4 linked regions of the Caenorhabditis elegans genome follow. The protein of the gene in region 2 purifies or fractionates together with the protein of the main gene of each other region. This does not show direct contact. Each region holds a gene or a part of one and is shown on either strand. Other genes may lie near its edges. The genes, in order: lsm-7, gut-2, lsm-3 and lsm-1.

The links.
Region 1: the proteins of gut-2 (region 2) and lsm-7 fractionate together in Caenorhabditis elegans (co-fractionation; one large-scale study listed by BioGRID). This does not show direct contact.
Region 3: the proteins of gut-2 (region 2) and lsm-3 fractionate together in Caenorhabditis elegans (co-fractionation; one large-scale study listed by BioGRID). This does not show direct contact.
Region 4: the proteins of gut-2 (region 2) and lsm-1 fractionate together in Caenorhabditis elegans (co-fractionation; one large-scale study listed by BioGRID). This does not show direct contact.

Annotation. Positions count from the first base shown.
Region 1 is NC_003282.8:10,931,967-10,935,284, forward strand, and holds lsm-7 (U6 snRNA-associated Sm-like protein LSm7), read left to right. Parts: upstream 1-1,535; 5' UTR 1,536-1,560; coding exon 1,561-1,566; intron 1,567-1,620; coding exon 1,621-1,714; intron 1,715-1,841; coding exon 1,842-1,950; intron 1,951-2,038; coding exon 2,039-2,144; 3' UTR 2,145-2,223; downstream 2,224-3,318. Other genes in the region: dnc-1 (Dynactin subunit 1), read right to left, coding at 271-354, 513-587, 629-730, 779-1,062, 1,109-1,139; Protein lgg-2, read right to left, coding at 2,798-2,951, 3,003-3,171.
Region 2 is NC_003283.11:13,495,335-13,499,319, forward strand, and holds gut-2 (U6 snRNA-associated Sm-like protein LSm2), read left to right. Parts: upstream 1-2,406; 5' UTR 2,407-2,441; coding exon 2,442-2,444; intron 2,445-2,631; coding exon 2,632-2,699; intron 2,700-3,116; coding exon 3,117-3,248; intron 3,249-3,298; coding exon 3,299-3,389; 3' UTR 3,390-3,485; downstream 3,486-3,985. Other genes in the region: eea-1 (FYVE-type domain-containing protein), read right to left, coding at 1-278, 607-681, 776-1,717, 1,759-1,932, 1,989-2,033; avr-15 (Ig-like domain-containing protein), read right to left, coding at 3,606-3,895, 3,951-3,985.
Region 3 is NC_003282.8:13,385,412-13,389,762, reverse strand, and holds lsm-3 (U6 snRNA-associated Sm-like protein LSm3), read right to left. Parts: upstream 2,295-4,351; coding exon 2,181-2,294; intron 2,125-2,180; coding exon 2,071-2,124; intron 869-2,070; coding exon 728-868; 3' UTR 620-727; downstream 1-619. Other genes in the region: Y62E10A.13 (Phosphoserine phosphatase), read left to right, coding at 164-400; mdt-9 (Guanine nucleotide exchange factor MSS4), read right to left, coding at 2,521-2,655, 2,707-2,976, 3,051-3,089; Y62E10A.23 (Mediator complex subunit 9), read right to left, coding at 2,918-2,976, 3,051-3,253, 3,305-3,384; Y62E10A.20 (Tim44-like domain-containing protein), read left to right, coding at 3,675-3,755, 3,811-4,186, 4,230-4,351.
Region 4 is NC_003280.10:11,124,784-11,128,252, forward strand, and holds lsm-1 (U6 snRNA-associated Sm-like protein LSm1), read left to right. Parts: upstream 1-2,166; 5' UTR 2,167-2,169; coding exon 2,170-2,442; intron 2,443-2,493; coding exon 2,494-2,598; 3' UTR 2,599-2,745; downstream 2,746-3,469. Other genes in the region: rps-9 (Small ribosomal subunit protein uS4), read right to left, coding at 678-843, 1,119-1,444, 1,493-1,570; F40F8.1 (UMP-CMP kinase), read left to right, coding at 2,881-2,884.

The sequences.
Region 1 (3,318 bases), on a different chromosome or scaffold from region 2:
TGGTTATCTGAAACAAGCGGTAGTAGAATGATTATGATTAAATGAATGTTGGTTGTACATGTTGTTAGTTATGTAGTTCTTTAAAATAAATTATTTGTCAATTTATCTGTAATGAAATTAGAATATATTCCAGACCGACTTGTGAATTTTCTAACACAAGTAAAAATTACGTGTTTGAGCTATGAGCAAGCAACATGTTCCACCAGCCATACACCAATCATACATTCCCACGCAAAGGTCAAGATTTAATAATTTGAGCATTATACAAACCCTAGGTTTAGAAGCTGATGCACTAGCACGACTCGAAGCGACAGAAGATTGCGATAAGTTGGAGAATTCACGAACCATTCTCGACTGAAACAACGATTAAAATCACATGAAGCAGGACAAATGATAATAATGGGGAAGAACATAATCAAGCTGATAATTTGACAACCGAGGAAAGCAGACATAATCTTGCCAATTCAGAAACAGTAAACGAAAAAGGGTCATTTACTATCAGCATAGATTACCGTTGACTCGGAGTTCTTTTTCGTCATTGGCGGAGCTGGAGATCTCGCCTTTTGCGGAGTTGTAGACCGCTTTTTCTATAAAAGGATTTCCCAAGTGTTTAAATTTCAAAAATTACCTCATTGGGATCTGCCAGCTTCGACATTGAGCGTGGGCCCATTCCTGTTTGACGACCTGTCAATTTTTCGGACGAAGCAGCAGGTGACATTCCAGGGCTTGACTAAATTTATATAAGTGAGACGTTGAAAATATAATTAAAATTTCTTACTCCTGGTGAAGCCTTAGAACCTGCGGATCTGCTCATTACACTAGAATCTTTTCGAATAGCAGAAGCTGCTGGAGCTTTCAGTCCTGATCTCTTTGATGCATCCTCCAACTCAACAGCGCTCGATTTCACGAAAACCCCAAAATTCGGTTCGCATTCGAAATATTGAACATTTTGAACAGTTCCGTTGTTTTTTCCGGTCGCCGTATCAAGAATCACTCCAACCCAATCACCTTCTGCGAATTGCGTTTGTCCGCAAAACACGACTCTTCCATTTCCCGAGCTTGCTGAAGAAAATAAATATGAAACGATAATTCAACTTATTTGGCTTACTTTTTACCCGAGTTCCTATTTCGAACGACATCTGGAAGATTGCGTTCGGTCACCAATTTTCCAAACGAATCAATATCGAACTACCTGGAAAAAATAGTTCAAAATCGATAAACTGTTGCGAAATAAATTGAGGAACAGAGGAAAAAGAAAGGAGCCGAAAATTGCAAACACTCTGGGATCGCTGGCGCGTTTCCGGTGCGCTGTGTGTTCGAAAAGTGCGTCAGCACCGTTGTTGAGCTAATATTTTTCGAATTTATTTTTTCTTTTCTTTATTTTATTTTCTTCTCTATATACGTTTGTAATTTTAAATCATAATTTATCAATTAAAAATACCGTTTAAAAAAATTCTAAATCAATAAGATTTTGTCAGCTTAATTTATTTCATTCGTAATCGATAATTTCATTCAAAATTTCGGAATTATTTCAGACTCACCACAACTCAACACAGAGAAATGTCGGTATGTTTTAAAAATACAATGAATAAGTTATTTATAATTGTTGTATTATTTTAGAAAGACGAAGGAAAACGAAAGAAGGAGTCTGTCGTTGATCTCACCAGATTTCTCGACAAAGAGATTCGCGTCAAGTTCCAAGGAGGACGTGAAGGTTGGTTTTTTTTTTGCACAATGATGTGCACTAGCAATAAGATTCCGTCATTAAACTATTTAAACAATATGAAAGCGTCCAACATACACAAGCTGTACTTCACTCCATAAAAATGTATAAATTTCAGCAAGTGGCGTGCTTCGAGGATTCGATCAGTTGCTCAATATGGTTCTTGATGACTGCCGCGAGTATCTCCGTGATCCACAAAATCCTTCGGTCGTCGGTGATGAGACAAGGTAATTGATAGATTTCCAAAAATCGATTTAAAGCTTGGATTTCAAATTAAATCTAGATTTTCGATTTTATCTTATCTTTTATCTTAAGACAACTGGGTCTTATTGTGGCTCGCGGAACAGCAATTACAGTAGTTAGCCCAGCAGATGGACTCGAGCAAATCGCCAATCCATTCGCAACCCAGGAAGAAGAATAATCGTTGATATCATCATCATCTCTTATTATTATTATATATGTATGTGATCTCCTTGTGAATGAACATTCTCCAGATAAAAACGACGAAAAAGTTGTTATTACATACAAAACATTTGATACATTGAATTTGGAAAAGTAACGATGGAACAAGATGTAATAATTTTGAATTGAATCCGTCTAGGCAGTCAGAAAGTCCATAGCGGTAAATTTCAATGTTCAGGGCAGTAAGGAAAATAGTCCCTATGGGCTTTAGAGACTAGCCAAGTACACAGAATCGTAAACGGTTTAAATTTTGTTGAAAGAGGATCAGTTGTGAAAAGAAGACATGAAGAAATTCAAGAAACGGGCTGGAAAATGCGGAGAAAGAGTTATGAGGGAACACATAAAGACTACACGAAAACGTAAGCGAATTTGGGTTTCTTTTTTTTCGTTTGTAAAACAAATTTCAGCTGGAAGTTTTGAGGTGGGGAATTGCGAGGGGCGAAATTAGCAAAGGCAACTAGAAAAATGGTTGGCGCCTGAGTATGATGGGTTTTCAGGTATTTACATTTAAAAATACAACATTTTACAGTGAGGATTGCATTGGGCAATCAGTGGTGTTGGTGGAAATTTAAAAATTGATTAGAATTGTGATGGAAAACGGCTCTTGATGTGTTATCCAAATGCTGGTTGAGACGTGTAAACCATATACACAAAGCCATCTGGATCACGCTCTTGACTGTACAAATTGGACATGCTCATAGAATTTGACACCATTGAGCGTTCATTGACGAGCAGGAAGAATGCTTGTTGTGGATGAAGTTGGAGGCTGAAAAGCAAACGGATGATTTTGAAAAAACAACTCAGTTGAATAGCTCACCGTCGTCTAACAATTGACATGAGCTCGGCAACGGTTATATGCTCGGGTACTAGGAATTTGCAGCGATCCATAAGTGGTAAACTGCGTTCTCCATCAAATCTTTCGATAATTACCGGAACCTTGTTCGGTTGTTGGCTGCGGATTTCTTCCACATCTTTCTGACGCTCATCTGAAATCGAATAGGTTAAAAAGGTTTTCTTTCGAAAATTTGAAAATAAAAAAGTTGTTCCTCAGTTCTGGATTTCTCTTTTCCACTCGTAAAATTCATATTTCTATTTAAAGATTGGCGTACGTTCAGTTTTGGTTGTTATCTTGA
Region 2 (3,985 bases):
TCTCCGGCTGAGATTTTCTCCATTAAATCTTTCGAGTTTTCTTGAAGTTTGTTGAGTTGGAGAGTAAGATTCTCGACAAGATCAGCGTGTTCTTTCAACTCGTTTTTGTACTTTGTTGCTTTTTTCTCACTTTCTGCCAACTTTTCTTTCAAATCATTGATGGACGAGTCTCGTTCCGAAATTTCTTTGTTCTTTTCTTCCAGAAGACTTCGTTCCTTATCGAGAAGAGATCCCATTGAGGCGAGCTCGTTAGTGAGGTCAAGATTTGCCATTTCAAGCTGAAAAATCATCTAAATTCAGCTGGAGTTTTTCCTATTTTTTCTTTGGGTTTCTTTTAAAGAGTACAATTTTCATTCACTAGAAATGCTACTCAGATATGAAATTTACAATTTTTGAGCAAAAAATACGGTATTCAGTCTCGCCACGATCAAATTTTCGAAAATACTGTAATGCCAAACTCTCGTTACTACTCCCGTTTCAAAAAAAAACACACTTCCGCAGTAGCGAGTTTAAAATTACAGTACTCTTTAAAGGCGCACATCCTTTTCCATTTAACAAAAAAGTCGTGTCGAGACCGGGATATAGAATTTTACATAACTTTCTCACCGTTTTTAGTCTTTCCCCTTGCACTGTTACTTTTTCCTCGAAAACCGCCTCAATTCGTTTCCTCTCCGCTGTATTCTGCAAACATTGTTTATAAAACCGGCAAATTGAAATTGAGTTTCAGGTTACAGCTTTGCCTAATACGATAAAATAAACAAAGAAATTAACTAACCCGCTCGAATTTTGAATTCAGGCTTATCATTTGTTCTTCATTAGATCCATTGATATTAGATAACATTTGAAGAGCATCTTGTGATTCTTGTACTTTATCTTCGAGCCTTTTAACGTTTTGCTTGTTTTCACTTAATTCGAACACGTTCTCTTCGATTCTGGCTTCTAATTGAACAACCCGTTCATTTCGTTGTTTCAATTCTTCGGATTGAGCATCATACGATATTTGCAACTGCTTCACAGTTTCTTCTCCTTCGCCAATTTTCTTTTCCAAGTTCTCATTTACGATGTGCTGTTTTTCACGTTCCATGCTTAAATTACGAATCGAATTTAGGTGTTCCTTGATTTCGATATCTTTCTCCTGAGAAATAGCATCCATTAGTTTTTGAGCATTAACTAGCTCAGTACGCAAAACATTCACATCATCTTCAGAAGGCCTCTGATCGAGCATCTTTTCAAGCCGAGAAACTTCGATTTCGTACCGAACAACATCTGATTTCACAACTTTCAGCTCTCTTTTCAGATCCTCCATTTCAACTTTGCCCGATTCAGATTCATCCGTAATTTCGCGCATTGTGACGCTCATCTGTTTCAATTTGGCCATCAAATCTCCACGTTCTTGTTTAACTTGTTGCAATTCTCGGGACTGCTGGCCGCTCTCTTTCTCAAGTTCCAGAAATTGCCGAGTAACCATTCCTTTGTCGGCTGTGAGAACTTGAATCTGCTGTGCCATGTATGGAATCTCATCTTCTGTGACTTCTGAAGCTATTGCCATTACCGATTTAATATTATCAAGTTCTTCTTTTATCCGTTCAGCAAAACGTTTCTCTTCGTTAACTCTTATTCGAAGCTCTTCAATTTCTTGATCTTTTGTAGCAAAGGCGAGTGGAGCTTGCTGAGGTGGAGTGTAATCGGGATGATTTCTGTTGGCTGATGTCTGAAACTATCAAAAAATTCTATTGAATCAGAGATTAATCAACTTACGTCAGAATGTTCTTTTTCAAAATGAACAGTAAGTTCATCAGGACCACCGAGCTCTACCATACACATTGGGCACAAGAACCCTTCGATCTCCTGATCATTTTCTGATTTTTGTGATTGCGACTGTGAACCTTGACTTGAAATACTTGGTCGACTGTTGTTTAGTCGGCCGTCAATCTAAATAAATTATCAAAATGGAAAAAACTAATTTTTTTACAAAACGGAAAACTTACATCATTCGCGACTTGCGAAACTTGTTCTTTCAACCTTCGAAGCATGTGTTCTGGAAAACAACAGTTCATCGATGCGATAATTCGAATGTAACGAACGGAGATTTAAATGTGATACACGAAATAGATTACAACAAATTGAGATATATCATCAGATCGATATAAACGAAGAGGGAAGGCGAAAAGCATTGATTTGACAACAAAACCGGCGCATTTTCTTCTCTTTCTGTCTCGAAAGATGATTCAAACATAGCGCAAAACAAACTGGCAAGTGGAATTCTCTGTTGGTCACTCAAATAAATAACCGGATTCCCTCTGATTTCTTTTCGTCTCTTCTCTCTCGTCTGGCAACGATGCTCCGTTTTGACGCAGTGCGCCTTGTTTATAATTAGTTTTGAATATTATTTTTTCATTAATTTTCTGAATCTTTGCAATTCTTCGACGATTTAACATAAAATGGTTAGTTTTCCTTTTAATTTTGTGATATAAATTGAAAAAGTACATACTCAAATTATTAAATGTGTTATAAAACTGTTGGTTGTCTCGGATATGAGGCTGTTCCGCTTAAATGTAATTTAAATTAATGGTTTAGGTATGTAGAAAGTCCCGAATTTTTGTTGTAACTCACGAAATATTACTATTTCAGCTGTTCTTCTCATTCTTCAAATCACTCGTAGGAAAGGACGTTGTCGTGGAGCTCAAAAATGATTTGAGGTGCGGTTTGTTAAATCAGTATATACAATTTACAGAAAATCGAGAAAATAACTGGAACCCATGTAAAACTTCAATTTCAAGACATTTCTTAAAAATTGGTTCACAAAAAATGCTTAAAACTTCTTGGGTTCAATATTCTGAATGTCTAGAAAGAATTCGAAACTCCCCGAAAATATGTATTAGCCAGACGGAAATCATTTTCAACGATACACTTCCACATAATGAAAATTCCGAATTTCTCGAAATCTCTTTAAACGCAAGTGCCATTCCTGGGTTTGAATTTAAATTATGAAATTCCATTTAAGATTAGTTCTGCTAATTTTTATAAGTTTTGAAGTTTAAATCTCACAAAATTAATATTTAAAAAATAATTATCTTATTCTAATCTCTCAAATGCAAATTCTAATAATTTTTCAGTATCTGCGGAACTCTGCACTCGGTCGATCAGTATCTCAACATGAAGTTGACCGATATCACCGTCTCCGATCCAGAACGATTTCCACATATGGTCTCTGTCAAAAACTGCTTCATCCGCGGATCCGTCGTCAGGTACAATTAGTTATCATTTTTCATAAATATTTCAAAATGATTCTTTAAAGGTACGTGCAACTCCCATCCGATCAAGTCGACACACAACTCTTGGCTGACTCCTGCCGGAAGGAGCTTCTCGATTCAAAGGCAAAACAGTAAATCCACGTGTTCATTCCTCAAAGTTCATCTCATTTTTTGTCAAGTTTGATATCATCTCATTTAAAAAAATATTTATTTTTATAAAAAATTCGTAACAAACAGGTTTTATTCACAGTTTCAAATGGTGTTTATTGCAGGCGTGTTCATTTTGTTTTCTCCATTGAGGGCACCGGTATGATAGTAGAAAGTATTTGATTGCTAAATAATTCCAGAATATTACGTACTGATGGCCACACCGTATTGTCCATAATGAGTCCAATAGGAGATGTTAAACGTGAGAAATAGTACAGGGAACATGACTCGAGATATAAGATCTGCTCTTTTCGACTTGTCATTCCATTCAGTCTTTGTTTTGATCCATTTCCAGACGCTATTTGTTTGACGGCGATTCATTCGAACTGTCATTACTTCTCGTTCTTGTTCAGCAACTTCTCGTGGTACCCACACATCGTTATGTGAATTTTGAAGGAATGGAAGTTCAGCTTTCTCTCTTTCAGTTCGAGCCCCTGAAAATTAGCAAAAAAAACGTAGGAAAAATTCTGAAAAAAAATCCCAACTGACTCTTATTAGCATCTTGCTTGTTTGCAATATAAGTC
Region 3 (4,351 bases), on a different chromosome or scaffold from region 2:
AGCCAAAAACTATTTTTGCTTTAAAAATCGAAAAAAATTCCAATAAATCAAATTTTGAAATTTAAAAAAAAATACTAGGATTTTTTCGATTTTTGAAGCCAAAAAATCAAAAAAAATTCTATTTATAAGTTTTTCTTCCAAATTTTAATCAAAATAATTTCAGACTGGCAAACCGGCTGTGATAGCTCTTCTGAAAAAGATGTACAACTACAAAACAGTTGTGATGGTTGGTGACGGAGCAACCGATGTTGAAGCTTCACCCCCAGCTGATGCATTCATTGGATTCGGTGGAAATGTCATTAGAGAAGGTGTAAAGGCTCGTGCCAAATGGTACGTCACCGATTTCGATGTTCTTCGGAAAGATCTCGATCATGATGAGTCTGATATTGACGACGAGTAGATAATTCATGTATCTGTACATATCGTTTTTCTTTTTTTTTCATATATTTTCCACACGTTCTCAGTTGGCTTTACTGTGCGGTTTTGAGCATTTTGAGCATCATTTTCTAATCACCTACTAGCGTATTTCTATTTTTTTTTTCTCTCACTGTGAATTTTTCCCTTCATGTACCAGCAAACTTTTGTCTTGTTGTGCCATAAATCTTCTACCACATGATATAGAGTTCCGAAAAATATTCATAAACAAAAATAACGTATGTGTGTGTTTAGATTTAGAAGATCACAAGATGAGAAAAATTTAAAATTGCGAGAAAATGATGACGATGAATTAGGATGCACGAATCGGTGGAGACACGAGAATGACAGAATCACCACGAACGAAAAGCATTGGAACAACACGTTTTGTTTGTTTGTAGATCTCTTCGAATGTGTCTTCGTCGACTTCACGGGTGGTGATTGTCTCTTCAACCTGAAAATATTTTTTTTTAATTTGATGATTATTGAACTACGATCAGAATTTTGTGAAAACAGGTTCTAAATAATGACCTCATAATTAGTTAAATGCGATATTTTGCGCAATAAATACGGTCTTAAAGCGAACTTAAAGCGTACCGAAATCTGAAAAATATATTTAAACGACTCCAAATTTTCTCCTGATTCCGAATATCTAATTGGAAAATTTCAAAAAAAAGTCCCTGATTTTATATTTCAACTTAAAATCGCGATTTTCATTTGCGTCCCCATGAGATTTTTCAAACGGCGAATTTTCGCGCCAGCCATGTGTCGATTTATGAGATTTGTGTAGATTTACGAGATTTTCAATCTTTATCGGATGTAGATTTCCTTTTTTCAACGAGTTTCCTTCATTTTTGTCGGTTTTTTCTAAAGTTTTTTTTTGAAAATGTGTTTTTTTAGGTCAATTAAACATTATATTATTAAAAAACTAACAACATTTTTTGGCGAAAACCGACGAAAATGATGAAAACTCGTTGAAAAACCGAAATCAGCATCTGATAAAGATTGAAAATCTCGTAAATATACCCAAATCTCGTAAATCGACACATGGCGTCTCTGGCGCAAAAATTCGGCGTTTCAAAAATCTCATGGGTGTACAAGCGATTTCAAGCTGAAATAATAAATCAGAGAACATTTTTTTGAATTTTTTCATTTCGATATTCGGAATCAGGGAAAAATTTGAAGTCACTTAAAAATATTTCCACAGATTTCGGTACCTTTTTCTTGAAGTTTTTCTTGGAAAACAAGGTTTTTTTCGAATTAAAACTGTATTGTTTTTCTATTTTATTTATATAGTTTCAATCTATTTTCTAGGGGATTACGGATAATCTGGAGTTTTTTTTTGGAAAAATTGTTTTTTTTCCTATTTTTCGGCTTTAAAATTGAAAATTTAAAGCTTTCTCCAAAGAATTATGGCCTTTTTTGTAGTTTTTTTTTTTGGAAAAAGTTGTGTTTTTTTAAGCTAAACTGTATTTTTTTCGATTTTCTTCTTTTTAAAATTTCAAAGAATTTTCTCAAATCCATTTCGAGGAGAGGTAGAACCTATAATTAGAAATTGTCTAGGATTTCGCATTTTTCTTTGACTAAGATACTTTCACAAAGTTTCAGTTTTTAAACAGTTTTACAATTTTTTAAAACTTTTCAACAACGACAAACCTCCGATAAAACCATGTTCAAATGTTGATCGAAAGCTCTGAGACGACCGCGCAACTGAAAAATCGAGATTTGTAACACAAAAAAAATCCCAAAATAAAATAATTTCCAACCTCTCTGTCGTTTCTCATTTTGACATAAACTCTCTCATCCAAACTGAGACGGAGCAAATCGAGTGGCTCTTCGACTGTAGCAGACAGTGTCACTTCTTTCTTTTCGGTGGCCATCTGGAAAAAAATTTGAAAAACTAAAAGTTTGAAAATAATAAAAAGAAAGAAAATAGTGAATTGAGAAATCAACATTTGAATCATCAGAAAATTAATTTTTCGAGCATAATACACGGACACACTTTTTCATTCCAGCAGTATAATTTCGCGTAAAAAATTCAAATTACAGAAAAATGAAAAATGAAAAATCAATAAATTATTTTTGACACATTCCGGAAAGCTCAATTCACTTTCCAGCCTCCACAGCAGCAGCAGCAACATCAGGAAGCACATCGAGCCGTTCAGGGCTCACATAGTTCATTTCAGTGACTGGATCCACGAAACCGACTGGTCCTTGCTCACATTCACCACACACCAGATACTGAAAATTGGGATTTTAAAGTTTTAGATTTCAAAAAAAGTTGAAACCCACTCGTTTGCCTTCAGAAGATCTTGTAAATCCAACATTTTCAAAAGCGAACATATCCTTGACTCCGAAAAATCCACGGATCGGCTCTGTCTGAGTATGATCGATTCCTTTCTTTTGACGTGGCAATGGAAGATCACGTTCTTCGTCGAGATATTCAGTAGTCATATTCTTCAGAATAACAACAGTTTGACAGATTTTACAAATGTATGTGCTCTCATTTGTCTCCACTTTCACTACGCTGCTTCTGCTCTCCGTCGGGCTTTTTGAGGGCTGCTGAAATAATTAATCAATTAAAAAATCATTTTTCTTGCTTAAAACATATTAATATCTTCTTGAAAATAATTCACCATCAAGGCTGAAGGCTGCGAGTTCGTCGAGGAGCTCATCTTTCTTCTCAATCTGCTTGTAGAGCGCGGCGATTTTCCGTCTTTCCTTGTACTCTTCGACGCCGATGTCGGGAATCGATTTCAGAGCGTCTTTGAAGCTTGCGATGTCGGCCTCGACGTTTCGAAGACGAACAGTAAGCTCAGAACCGCTTCCTTTCTCCACGCTGAAATAATTAACCTCGTTTCTTTTTAATAACTACAAATTCCGAACTTACGAGTTCACAAGATGGAATAAATCTGCGTATAATTTGTTCAAATAGCTTTCAGCACTTGGCTTGATCACTTCTTTGCTCATGAACAAACTCTGAAAATAGTCGAATACTGGAAAATTGATTTGAAAATAATTCCAATAAAGAATTAAGTTGAAATTGGCTTGCGTTCGATGGAGCGCGTTTGCTTCTTGCAAGCCTAGCACACAAGATTTGCAACAACGCCGCACACTTGTTGCAGAGTACGTTGCAGAGTATTTTTCCTTTTTTTCTGCTTTATGTCTCGATTTAAGATGATTTCCCCGATATTTTTGTTCTAATTTTTACTAAATTGTATAGAATTATCATAATTTTCTCTATTTTCCCATTTTAGAAAATGCTCAAATGCTCACACGCCATTAGGAGAATATCACCGCGAAATCTTTGCACGGCGAGTACCTCCGCGGAAATCGCCAATGTAAGTAAAACTTGCGTTGTTATCAATTGGCAAACAATTAATTTCTGAAATTTAGGCTGTTCCATTAATTTCCAACAATCGTTCATATGTGTTTGATACTCCACAAGTATCAGTTCCAACGTTTGAGTTGAGTCGTCGAGTTGGAAATCTCTTCGCGCAGTCCTTCTACACATTATGTTACGAGAAAAGCTTCACTGTTGAGAGCTTGGTGCACGGAGCCAATAAAGGCATTCACAGTCTTTCTCATTTTCTAGCTGATGAAAAATGGGATCAAATGGAGAATTTGGCGGTGAAAGATGCTGTTGAGAATATGCGAGAAGCCAGAAAAGGGCTTTCGAAGCAATTAGAAAATGCTCTTCGTTTCTCTCCAGACGACATTTTGCTCTCATTTCTCCATTCGACTGTCATCTCCGGTCGGGATGTTCTCAAGTGTAAGTGTCAAGGAAATATTCACTACTGAACAGGAAATTGCAGTGAGCAGCAGCCGAAATATCGGAATTTATTTCACCGTCGTCTCTTTCGTTCGATTGTCAGAGAAAGTTCCGGAGAACGCAAGTATTGGAGAGCTCAGCGGAAAGTACAAGAGTGATGTGCTC
Region 4 (3,469 bases), on a different chromosome or scaffold from region 2:
CCCCTCCCACCCCCCGGCCCAAGCAGTTAAACCGCTCCTAAACCGCTCCAAAAACCATTGCTGGCCACTTTTCTCCGTCATCCCGAGTCACGTTTTGTCCTTCTTCAGTACTTTCAAAGAGCATTTCCACAATCGGATCTCTTTTCATTTGTTCAAAATAAAATTTATGCCAAAGATCAATAGGCATAGCGGAAAATGCACTTGAAGCGCGCAGAGCTGCAGAAGAAAGAACCGGTTTCTGGCTATATTTCCCACGTGGCCAACGTGGAACGGATTGTTCATTTCTGTAAGCGCAGGAGCTCAATTCGTTAATAAGTTCCATGTATTGTGTTTGCTTGATCATCAGAATAACTTAATTTTGTGCCATTTTTTGTACAAAATCAATAGTTTTGGTCAAAAATGTATTGTTAAATTTTTGATGTGCGGAAAATCTACTTTTTTAAAAAAAATTTGCTGCACACCCCCGGCTTCCATGATTTTTATACTATTTCGATCAAGCCAGCGAAAGTTCTCCAGAAAAACCGCACTGGATTTTTTAAATTCAAATTTGCTCGGACGTGAACAACGGAATCGCACAATTGCTTGTAAAACTATTTCTTCCAAAAGGCTTTTTAAAAAATAAAACGAATCACTGGAAGACGTTATGTCCAACAATTTTATTTGTAACCAAAACAAATTTATTCCTCGTCGTCGCCTCCGGCTCCATCTCCCTTTCTCAAGGTGCGTCGCTTGACGCGTCCTGGACGGCCACCTCCGTATGGAGATTGAAGAGAGAAGTCGATGTGCTTCTGGGAGTCCAAACGAACGATGAAGGATGGGACATCGACAACTTGTCTGCGGACACTGAAAGAGAAGAATTTGAAGTCGATACTAATCTTGTAATTTGTCATGTCATCTTTCAGTGAAATAAATTTTTTAATGAAATATTCCGGACAATGACTACTGGATCAGTCTTCAAAATAGCGCAGGAATACCTAACTGGTTTAAATCGAAAAACATTTGTAAAAAATTAACTGCCAGAACAATCAATTTTCCGAAAGATGAATTTAATGTTAAAATGATAGTTCTAAAAACTGTTTCATTTTTAAATATATTTTTATACAGAAACAAAAACTAACCGGATGTGGTGCTGCTTGATCAAGATACGGGCGTGGTGGATAGACTTGGCAAGTCCGAGCTTGAAGACCTGGGTTTGGAGCCTGCGCTCAAGGAAGTCCTCGACCTTAAGACCGAGAACGTAATCGAGCTTCATCTTGGTCTCGTCGAGGACACCGATCTTGACAAGACGACGGAGAAGGGCATTTCCTTCGAAAAGACGCTTTGGATCCTTGTCTTCAAGAGTAAGAAGCTCACGAGCCGCCTTACGGACCTTGGCGAGGGTGTACTTGACACGCCAGACCTCACGCTTGTTCTTGAGTCCGAAAGTTCCGATGAGCTTGAGCTCCTGTAAAACAAAATTTTAAAATATAAATTTTACTTTGACATTTCAAACCTGGTCAAGGCGCTCCTTCTCGAACGGACGGCGTGGCGACTTTGTCACTTTAGATTGCACAGTCTTCAGACGTGCCATAGTTGAACCCTGAAAAAAATAAATAGAAAATTGAAGTTTGAGGCAGCAACAACGAAAACAGAGGGAAGCAAATTACAAATTAACGATAAAAATAACAATAATGTAATGAAAATTCATTTTTTTAATTAATTTTCTGACAATTTCATTCAAAAATTCAGCGATTTTCCCAAAAAATAATAGAAAAAAAGAAAAATTGTCAGGTTCGGCCTAAAAGAGTGGGGACGACTACGGTCGGTGGTCGTTGCGGGACCCACCCGCGTAAATCGGTGTGCCTTTACCAGAGAAAAAACACCCTCTCATGCATGCACAGTCTCTCGTTTCTTTTCCATTCGGTTCTTTTTAATATTTTCCTGCTAATTTTAACGAGTCTATAGCAGTTTTGAGCTTATATAAATCTTAAACTCATATAATTTCAATAAAAATTAGTAAAAATAACGTTTACCAACGAAAAACACTATCAGGAACTGGCATTCAATGTTAAATATTCATGATTTAAGCCTTTGCCCGTGTTTTTAACCGAAAATTCCACTTATTGTTTGAAATCTCTTCGAATTCAATGTTTTATTCGTATTTTAATCTAATTTTTTCGTTTTCAGATCATGGACTTGCCCGATCCCTATTTACCCGGAGCAATAAGCTTGTTCGAGCAGCTTGACAAAAAATTATTAGTTGTTCTCCGCGACGGACGGAAATTGATTGGCTTCTTGAGATCGATAGATCAATTTGCCAATCTTATATTGGAAGATGTCGTAGAACGCACATTTGTTGAGAAATACTTCTGTGAAACGGGTCAAGGATTCATGCTTATTCGCGGAGAGAATGTTGAGCTTGCTGGAGAAATCGATGATACCATTGAGACTGGACTTACGCAGGTTTTTAAATGATTTTTCTATAATCTATCTCTTAATAATTTATCCTTTCAGGTGTCTCCCGAAGAATTTCGTCGGCTGGAGGATGAGTATATTGCCAAAAATCCGCCAAAGTTCCTAAAACGACAAGCAGAGAAAACAGAAGAACACGATGCATGAATCTGTATTCTGAAAAAAGAAAACACGTCGCACGGGTTGATTCTACATCTCGATTTTCAATTTGAAATTTCCCTTTCTTGTGCTATGTTTGTTTGAAATTTTATGTAATTCCTTGATATTCTGACGAGAAGTAAACTAATTTGATTCAATTTCAAAAATGTTTTGATTTCTTTTTTTTACTTGAAGGTGTTATGATCTGAATATATATCGGAGGATTGCTTTCAACTTCCAATTCCCATCGAAGCCGTATTTAGAAGATCCAAGGACTCGGGTTGCAACTGTATGCGTAAGTTTATTTGTTTTTGGGCAACGCATCAAAATCTTACAGCTTCTGTTCATCTCAAATAAGTTGCTTGGCGCTCTAATCTGCTCGCAAATGCATGCCTAATGCAGCCAAATCTCCACAGAAAACGAGGAGAAATCGATAGAGCGGTGGTGCTTGCTTCTCTTTCCTCTCGCTTAACCAAAAAAGCTTGCATTTTCGTGCTAAAACGTGTCAGTTATGCATATTTTATACTTACCGTATATTCTCTATTAGTGCTACATCTCCAGTAGTACTGCAGTCTCTAATAGTGCTGCATTCAAAAAGGGTCCGAAAAATAGTGCTGCAGTCTCTATTAGTGCTGCACCACATTTTCTATTGAAAGAGTCACTTGATAGTTTCGATATTTTTGGGTATTTTTTTGTATATTTTTGATGAATTTTTGATAATTTACGAGAGTAATTGAATTATGGGGTCTTTTTGTTACAAAAGTTCGCAATTTTTATGAATTTCTGCTAAAAAAAGAGCTTTTGTGTCTAAAAACTAGTGATCTAAAATTGAAAATAGTTGTTCGAAAATTAATGCTGCAGTCTCCAGTAGTACTGCAGT